Macaca mulatta: one gene and its partner. The protein of the gene in region 2 binds, or shares a complex with, the protein of the main gene of each other region. Links are inferred from orthologs where the notes say so. Each region holds a gene or a part of one and is shown on either strand. Other genes may lie near its edges.

Region 1 (4,469 bases), on a different chromosome or scaffold from region 2:
CAGGCCTGTAATCCCAGCACTTTGGGAGGCTGAGGCGGGTGGATCTCGAGGTCAGAAGATCGAGACCATCCTGGCTAACACGATGAAACCCCATCTCTACTAAAAATACAAAGAACTAGCTGGGTGCAGTACCGGGCCCCTGTAATACCAGCTACTTGGGAAGCTGAGGCAGGAGAATGGCGTGAACCCAGGAGGCGAAGCTTGCAGTGAGCCGTGATTGCACCACTGCACTCCAGCCTGGGCGATAGAGCGAGACTCCGTCTCAAAAAAAAAAAAGAAAAAAAAAATAATAAAATAAATTCAACTACTATTACTTAATAGCAACAAATGTTGAAATACAGGCTCAGAGAAGTTAATGATTTCTGTCTGGTCAGGCAGCCAGCAAATGGCAGAGATAGGACTTAAACTCTGGGCAACTGCATTCTGCCATCCTTCCTGTACAACTCTGAGGAACCGAGAGTCTTGAATCTTGGAGGATGTTCAAAACAATTTTTTTTTTTGTTTTTAGACAGGGTCTCACTCTGTTGGCAGGGCTGGAGTGCAGTGGCTCAATCATGGCTTACAGTAATGTCTGCCTCCTGGATTCAAGGGATTCTCCTCCTGCCTCAGCCTTTTGAGTAGGTGGGATTAAAAGTGCCTGCCACAGTTTTTCAGCTAATTTTTGTATTTTTAGTAGAGATGGGGTTTCGCCATGTTGGTCAGAGTGGTCTTGAACTCCCAACCTCAAGTGATACTCCTACTCTGGCCTCCCCAAGTGCTGGGATTACAGGCATGAGCCATGGCACCTGGTCCCAAACAAATTGTTTGTTTGTTTTTTTTTTTTTTGAGACGGAGTCTCGCTCTGTCACCCAGGCTGGAGTGCAGTGGCGCGATCTCGGCTCACTGCAAGCTCCGCCTCCCGGGTTCACGCCATTCTCCTGCCTCAGCCTTCCGAGTAGCTGGGACTACAGATGCCCGCCACCACGCCCGGCTAATTTTTTGTGTAATTTTTTTAGTAGAGATGGGGTTTCACCATGTTAGCCAAGATGGTCTCGATCTCCTGATCTCGTGATCCTCCCGCCTCGGCCTCCCAAAGTGCTGGGATTACAGGCGTGAGCCACCGCGCCCGGCCACAAATTGTTTTAAGACCAGGTCTCGCTATATTTCCCCGCTGCACTTGAACTCCTGGGCTCAAGCAATCCTCCTGCTGTGGCTCCTGAGTAGCCGGGACTACAGACTCAAGCCACCATGCCTGGCCACATTCCACAATTTGGAGAAAGGCCACAACCTGGAATCCTAGGGAGACCCCATTGCACCTCAAAACTGCCACTAAGGAGGGAAAACGCTGCCCCTCTGAGACAGGCGTCAGTTTTCCCGTGTGTGAAATTGACCTGGCGCTGGGAGAGGCTGGTGGAGGCTTGGATGTTGCAGTTTCTCTACAACATTCTGGAAGCCTGTGGTTCTGGGAAAGGGTGGTGTGGAGAAGACTGGGAAACAGTCAGTGGTTACCAGACCTGTCAGCACCTCCTCCACCTCGGAGCTCTGGGGCTGGGAGTCCCCAGGCTTCGGGGGGCCCCTGTGGAGGACACAGGTGGCCCCCTCCTTCCTGACATCTCAGGAGAGGGAGGGGGCAACCACCTAGGGGAAGAAAGGAATAGACAGGTTATAGAGGCAAGTGGGGGAGGGGTCAAATCCCTGAACACCCCCTCCCCAGAGTTCCTCTTGAAGTTCAGGGTACCCAAGAGTCAAGGCCCCGCCCCCTTTCCAGAGGCCCCTTTTCTACCCAGGTGATGGCTCCTGGCTGGGATGGGAAGCAGATGGAGGGAGGGGAGGGGAGAAGAGGGGAAGGGAGAGGCAGTGGATGAAGCAGGCTGGAAGAGATGACATCCCCCTCGGCCCATTCATCTCCCAGAGGGGGCGGAACTGACCTGGACACCTGGGTCCCTGAGGGCCCACACTCAAGAAGCCCTGGTTCCCCAAGCTGCTTCCTGGAATGTTCCCTCCTCACAGGACAGGCCAGGGCCCGCCCAAGACTTCTGCACATACCTGGAGTGACTGCCTGCCCTGGCTCCTCCGTACAGGAAAGGGGAAGGGTGGAGAGTGAAAGGAGCCCAGGCTGACCCAACCAGGACTGCCTTCTCCTTCACACCCCAGGGCCTCCACCTTCAGACCCAGGAGTTCAGATCCCCAGCGCCCTCCTCCCTCAGACCCAGGAGGAATCCAGGCCCCCAGCACCCTTCTCCCTCAGACCCAGGAGGAGTCCAGGACCAGGCCCCCAGCACCCTTCTCCCTCAGACCCAGGAGGAGTCCAGGACCAGGCCCCCAGCACCCTTCTCCCTCAGACCTAGGAGTCCAGGCCCCCAGCGCCCTCCTCCCTCAGACCCAGGAGTCCAGGCCCCCAGCGCCCTCCTCCCTCAGACCCAGGAGTCCATGCCCCCAGCACCCTTCTCCCTCAGACCCAGGAGTCCATGCCCCCAGCGCCCTCCTCCCTCAGACCCAGGAGTCCATGCCCCCAGCACCCTTCTCCCTCAGACCTAGGAGTCCAGGCCCCCAGCGCCCTCCTCCTTCAGACCCAGGAGTCCATGCCCCCAGCACCCTTCTCCCTCAGACCTAGGAGTCCAGGCCCCCAGCACCCTTCTCCCTCAGACCCAGGAATCCAGGCTCCCAGCGCCCTCCTCCCTCAGACCCAGGAGTTCTGGAATTCAGGCTCCTCCTTCTCGGGTACTAAGAAATGCAGACTCCGGGTTCCTCATCCTCCAGATTTGGGTGGGGGGTCTGGACTCCTGAGACCCCTCAGGGGAAACCGGCTGCGTATCTGGGACACTTCCCTCCTGCCTCAGTTTCCTCAGCCAAGCCCCGCCCCCGTCGGCCCCGCCCCCGTCCCTCCCCACCCGAGGGCAGGGCGACCAGGACGCCGGAATCCCGGGGGAGGAGGCGCGGAGCTCTTACCTGGGGCGCCCTCTTCGGCTCCCCCAGCTGCCCTCGGCCCAGCAGCAGCTCCTCCTCCTGCTCGCTGGCTGCAGGGACGCTCGCTGGCCCGCCGGCTGCTCGCTGCTCACTCTCGGCAGGGCCCGGGTCGGGGGCGGGGGCGGGGCGGCGCCGGACGGCAGAGGAGGGGCCGGGGGATCCTGCCTTGTACAGGCGTGCCGGGACCTTGGAAGCCAGGCCTGGCTCGTTCAACCCGGCCGCATTGGTCACAGGAGTCCCAGTCTCCAGCTGCCTCCTCCTTTAGACCTAGTAGTCCAGGTCCCCAGCCCCTCCTCCCTCAGACCCAGGAGTCCAGGCATCCAGCCCCTCCTCCCTCAGACCCGGGACTTGCGACCCCAGCCACTTCTCCCCCGAGCCCCAGGCGCCTGAGTACTAAGCCCACAGTTCCCCCCACCACCTCCCAACCCCGCCCCGTCTCAGACTCAGGAGTCCAGCCCCCAGCCTCCTCCTCCATTAGCCCCAGGAGTCTGGGCCTGAGATTCCTTTGCCGTCTTTTGCCAATTGCGTGTCAATCCCGGGGCAGATTCCCACTCTCTGCTCTCCTCCCCACTTCCCAGGAGCTCCACGCCAGACATTAACCAGCTGGGCTTGGGCAGTGATAAGGCCCCAGGCCCGGGGAGACAGTGGATGTGGGGGCTCCCGCATACTCCTCTCCCCTGGAATTTCCTGGATGGGGACCGGGGAGAGGGTCTTGTCCTGAGCTCAGATAAGAGACATGCAAGGTATTATAGGACCCAGAGATAGACAGATGTGTCTTAAGAACAATCAGCTCCTTCCAGAAATGGTGCGCGGTGACAGATGAAGGCATGGAAAAGTGGGGAGAGACCAAAAGAAAGAGGGGGATCAAGACTAGAGAGAGTGGGGGAGGGCAGAAGCCCAGAGAGAAGACAGAGGCCCAGAGAGACTGAGGGCAGACCCTCCGGAGAAGGGGACAGAGCCCCTGAGAGACCCTCAGAAAGACAGGGATGGGATCGGAGCTAGAGCGTCTCAGGACAGTCATGAGGGCAGCCGGGCTCCTCACCCCACCACACCTCCACCCTGAGACTCTGCCTCCCTCTGCCTGTGCTATTTTCAGAAGGAAAATTGACACCTGCCTCAGGGGTCATCCCACACCCCCTCAGCCTAAATATAGCATGGCAAGGTGGCAGGAGGGTGTCCCCGGTTAGGGTGTTTCCTGCTCCTCACAGTTATTTATTGGTGGGGGGAAGGGCCACTTCCCAGGCTTTGGGTGTGTGTTCGGGTCACCTCTCTGGCTTCTCCACATTTCCCTGTTCCTAAACACCCAATACATCCTGCCCCATAGCAGGAGGACTCTAGACTCTAGCTTCTAGCTTCTAGTCCTGGAGGGGATAGTAGGGATGAGGTTTCCAAACAGAGTGACTGAGAAACAGTCTCTGTCCTCTCCCTGTCTGGATCTCTGTCCTCCTGTCTCTGGATTTCTGTCTCCCTCCAACTCTGGGTCTGTCCTTTTCTCTCTGGGTCTCTGTCCCCCCCTCTCTCTG
Region 2 (3,807 bases):
CTTAATTGAGTATGCACAAAACACTGCATATACTGTCCCAGCAACAAACGTAGGTATGTCCGTGATCATTTGCTATTAAAAGCACATGCCAGTCTGATTACGTACAATGCACAGTGAGGTTGACAGAATCTTGATCTTCTCCTACAAGATTTTCTGCCACACAAGAGATTTGCTTCCCACTGTCATCAGATGAAATGTTAGTTATCCTTAAGGAGCCCTGTGTGTGGCTTGTTTCATTCTACAAACGAATTAACAGACAAAAATAACCTTGATTAGGATTGATCCCAAAGTGACAAGATTTGGGGTTTCTTCCCCTAACTAGAGAAAAAAACAAATATATAAATATAATATAATATAATATAATATATAGCATTAGAAAAACTTCTCTGCCTGAAATAGGCTCAGGCAAAGAAGTAAATCAGAAGTTATTCTATTTCTCTAGGTTTCAGTTGCTAAGTGCATGAGGTTGACTTGATCCCTGAATTCCCTCCAAGGGAGAAGACCACAGGGAAAGTCACTCGCTTTGTTCAGGATGATGCAAAGAGCTCACTAGGGATATAAAGACTCCTTGCTCTCTTAGGTATGCATAACTAAAATGCAAGCCTGCATTAGTCTTTGTTAATTAAGAATAAGTAGAAAGTAAATGTACATCAAAAACTCTTTGTAAATTTCTATATGTAGCCCTATAAAATATCAAATGATCATCACTAGGTTTAATACATTCTCACATTCTGAAACACTCTTGTCTCTCTATTAAGACACAGCCAAACACAAGCCTTACCATATGTTTGGAAACCAGATTACCAACATCCCAATACATATTAGGAACCGGATCGCCTGCCACACTACAGGATAACGTGATAGACTTTCCTTCCTCCACAGTGAGGTTAGGTGCGGCCAAATTTGCAGATGGTAAACCTATGGAACAAGAAAAGTAAACAGAGGCATATGCAAATAGTTAAATGCAGTATCAAACTAAAAGCAATAAATTGAAAACTGTTTATGCTTTAAAAATCAATCTTTAATTGCTTTTTGAGACTGATTTATGTTGATCTGAAAAAGTGCCACTTTGATCAGCTTCATAGATTTAACATAAATCAAAAAAAGCTATAAGTAGATTTCAAAATAAATTATGCACATTTCTTATAGCATTAATGCCTAATAACCTTTTATTTTAAGAACACTAGTATAAAGAACTGTCTTCCACCTCTTTTTCTGTTCTACAGTTACTAATCCAGTTTTTGCACATAAACAGAGATTGTACCTATGGACTGACATCATGTCTTTTATTTCCTTCTGTCTCCTACCCCCTATTTTTTTTTAATGCTCAAGAACACAAAAGGGTGAGATGCAGCTATGTTGTTTTTGCAAAAATCTGTTTTTTGCTTTAAGTAACTCTCACAAATGTAACCCTCTACCAGACACAGATTTTGAAAGACTCATTCTATTGAAGAAAATGTAGTTTCAAAGCATTTTTCAAAGACAGGCAGTTTGAACTATTAGTGTTAGAATGTTTCAAAGTTACGTAAATCGTAGTTGAATATTATAGGTAAAACTGCTATCTTATTTAGAATATAATGAAAATGGGTATATGGACTCATTTCAGTGAAAAGTTCTTTTTATTGGAAAGACTCTGAGAATGTACTTATCAGATGAAACTTTGAACCTTATAAACATTTTTTAATAGTGCAGCAAGGCATCATTTTTATATTTTTATATTTCAAAAGCTATGTGTAATTTTAGGGATGCTGCTATCACTTCATGAAATTATCACACCAACTGAGTGTGGACACCGCTTTAAACTGCATAAGAATCATGGTATTTTTTACACGTAGGCATATCTTAGAGGGTATAACAATATGTCAGGACCTGCTAGTGGAGGCTGTCCCTCTCTTGGTGTCAGGAACTCTGCTTGGGACTGTAGTCACCTGACAGTTATATCCTGCAGAACTATGATACAGCATTAAGTCAGATCAGAACCTGGAGGTCAAAGAAGGCGATTCATTTTCAACAACTGTTAAATTGCAATTAACCCACCCACCTGGCAATATTTGACCCGTCATCTTCACATTATTATGGATAAACCCTTCTCTTATCATGTATTCCTACTGGCAAAGCCATCTTTCTTTATTAGTGAAATCAGACTGGAATAAGATTTATACAGTCTGTATCTCATGGTTTTCCCACCACTGGGAGAGGATTCCCCAATAAGATCTGGCTTTCAGGGGCTAGTGAGACCCCCTTCCAAACTCTTCCTTCCCGTGAGCATCCAATAGAGACCAATGTTACATCTTTCGTGGGGTTTCAAGAAAAAAAAAAAAAGCCCCTAATAGCCAGAGTTATACAGAGCAATGAAATATATAACAATGATTAACAGAGAGTGTAATACAAGCCCCACACCCTAAACCTGGCACATACTAACTTTGTGGCCTTGGATGAGTCTGTTGTTTTTCTCAATGTGTTTTCTTCACAACTTCTATGACAATTAAGCTGTTCAATTTATTAGGGAGCGTGTCAAGGCAAAATAGAAGAAATGGGCTTACTTAGTGAAAAATCCCCTTGAAGTCAATGGCATAATCTGGGTGACTTTTAAAAATATGTATATACTTAATTTTGTTTTTCAAAAATCAAATATTTAATCACATAGTTTGAAGAGTTGATAATTCTATAAAACTTATGAAAAAGATTCAAGCTACTGTGTGTGAAAAACAGTAGTCCCACCTTACCCATGTGGCACTATTTCCTATTCCCAGAGGCACCCATTTCATCTCCTTTAACTTCTTCTTTGGGCATTGCTCTGCTCATCACTAAGCATTACTCTTTATTGCTACTTCTTGGTTTTCCTGTTTCAGCAGTATCTGCTGACCTCCCACTGTGGAAGATGAGATAGGGGCTCCCTTTCACACAGAATGACAGCTCTCCTCAGGCCCCCACCACATTCAACATACTCTGTCTTCACACTTTTTCATGTGCTATAATTGTCTCAGTGGAGACATAAAGATGATTACGAGTATGTGGCCAGGTACAGCTCATGCCTGTAATCCCAGTACTTTGGGAGGCTGAGGCAGTTGGATCACGAGGTCAGGAGATCGAGACCAGCTTAACCAACATAGTGAAACCCCATCTCTACTAAAAAATACAAAAAATTAGCCGTGTGTATGGTGGCAGGCACCTGTAATCCTAGCTAATGGGGAGGCTGAGGCAGGAGAATCGCTTGAACCCGGGAGGCGGAGCTTGCAGTGAGCCAAGCTCGTGCCATTGCACTCCAGTCTGGGCAGCAGTGCAAGACTCCATCTCAAAAAAAAAAAAAAAATTATTATGAGTATGCAAGCCTTACTAACACCAGAACCATCTAATATGCAATACTTACTTTATTTCACCAAATTTAAAACAGTATTAATTACAGGTTGCAACATTGCTATTATGTACCACTATGAAAGGAAAAAAATGTGCCAATATAACTATAACACATGCTTTCTTACCACTTAGAACTATTGCTTGGAGGTTGGACCTTATAGATAGCCCATTTAATTCTCCATTCCTTTCCTATTTTCCAACTTTTGATTTATTTGCTCTATTTGCAGGGAGAGTTTTTTAGATTAATTTTTAAAGCCTGCTTTTAAGGTTGTTCATTCCTCTATCATATTTTTTATTCCCAAGGCTCTTCTTTTGTTCCTGAATGTTCTTATTTTATAGCACCTTCTTCTTGTTCCATGGATGCAATATCTCTTACGATTTCTATGATATATTTATAATCATTTCTTGAATTTTTCTTTTCTCTATATCAGTTTTGTTTCTAGCAATTTT

Evidence for each region.
Region 1: the proteins of NTRK2 (region 2) and NTF4 are in contact, whole or in part, in a crystal structure (PDB 1HCF), measured with the Homo sapiens proteins. The link is inferred for Macaca mulatta from reciprocal best matches to the Homo sapiens genes NTRK2 and NTF4. Residues at the interface, in NP_001018074.1 of Homo sapiens: Phe291, Glu293, Thr296, Ser297, Asp298, His299, Cys302, Pro304, Thr306, His335, Val336, His343, Gly344, Cys345, Asn350, Thr352, His353, Met379, Gly380, Trp381, Pro382, Gly383; in NP_001382418.1 of Homo sapiens: Gly81, Val82, Ser83, Glu84, Thr85, Ala86, Ser89, Arg90, Arg91, Gly92, Glu93, Leu94, Ala95, Asp98, Ala99, Ser101, Gly102, Trp103, Thr105, Tyr135, Phe137.

The regions. Positions count from the first base shown.
Region 1 is NC_133424.1:61,511,117-61,515,585, forward strand, and holds the start of NTF4 (neurotrophin-4 precursor), read right to left. Parts: upstream 3,033-4,469; 5' UTR 2,929-3,032; intron 2,797-2,928; exon of another isoform or gene 2,628-2,796; intron 2,590-2,627; exon of another isoform or gene 2,514-2,589; intron 2,324-2,513; exon of another isoform or gene 2,051-2,323; 5' UTR 1,908-2,050; exon of another isoform or gene 1,618-1,907; 5' UTR 1,494-1,617; exon of another isoform or gene 1,371-1,493; intron 1-1,370. UniProt on the Homo sapiens protein: Target-derived survival factor for peripheral sensory sympathetic neurons. May promote ameloblast differentiation and subsequent reduction in proliferation of ameloblasts.
Region 2 is NC_133420.1:115,658,647-115,662,453, reverse strand, and holds part of NTRK2 (BDNF/NT-3 growth factors receptor precursor), read right to left. Parts: intron 919-3,807; coding exon 782-918; intron 239-781; coding exon 106-238; intron 1-105. UniProt on the Homo sapiens protein: Receptor tyrosine kinase involved in the development and the maturation of the central and the peripheral nervous systems through regulation of neuron survival, proliferation, migration, differentiation, and synapse formation and plasticity.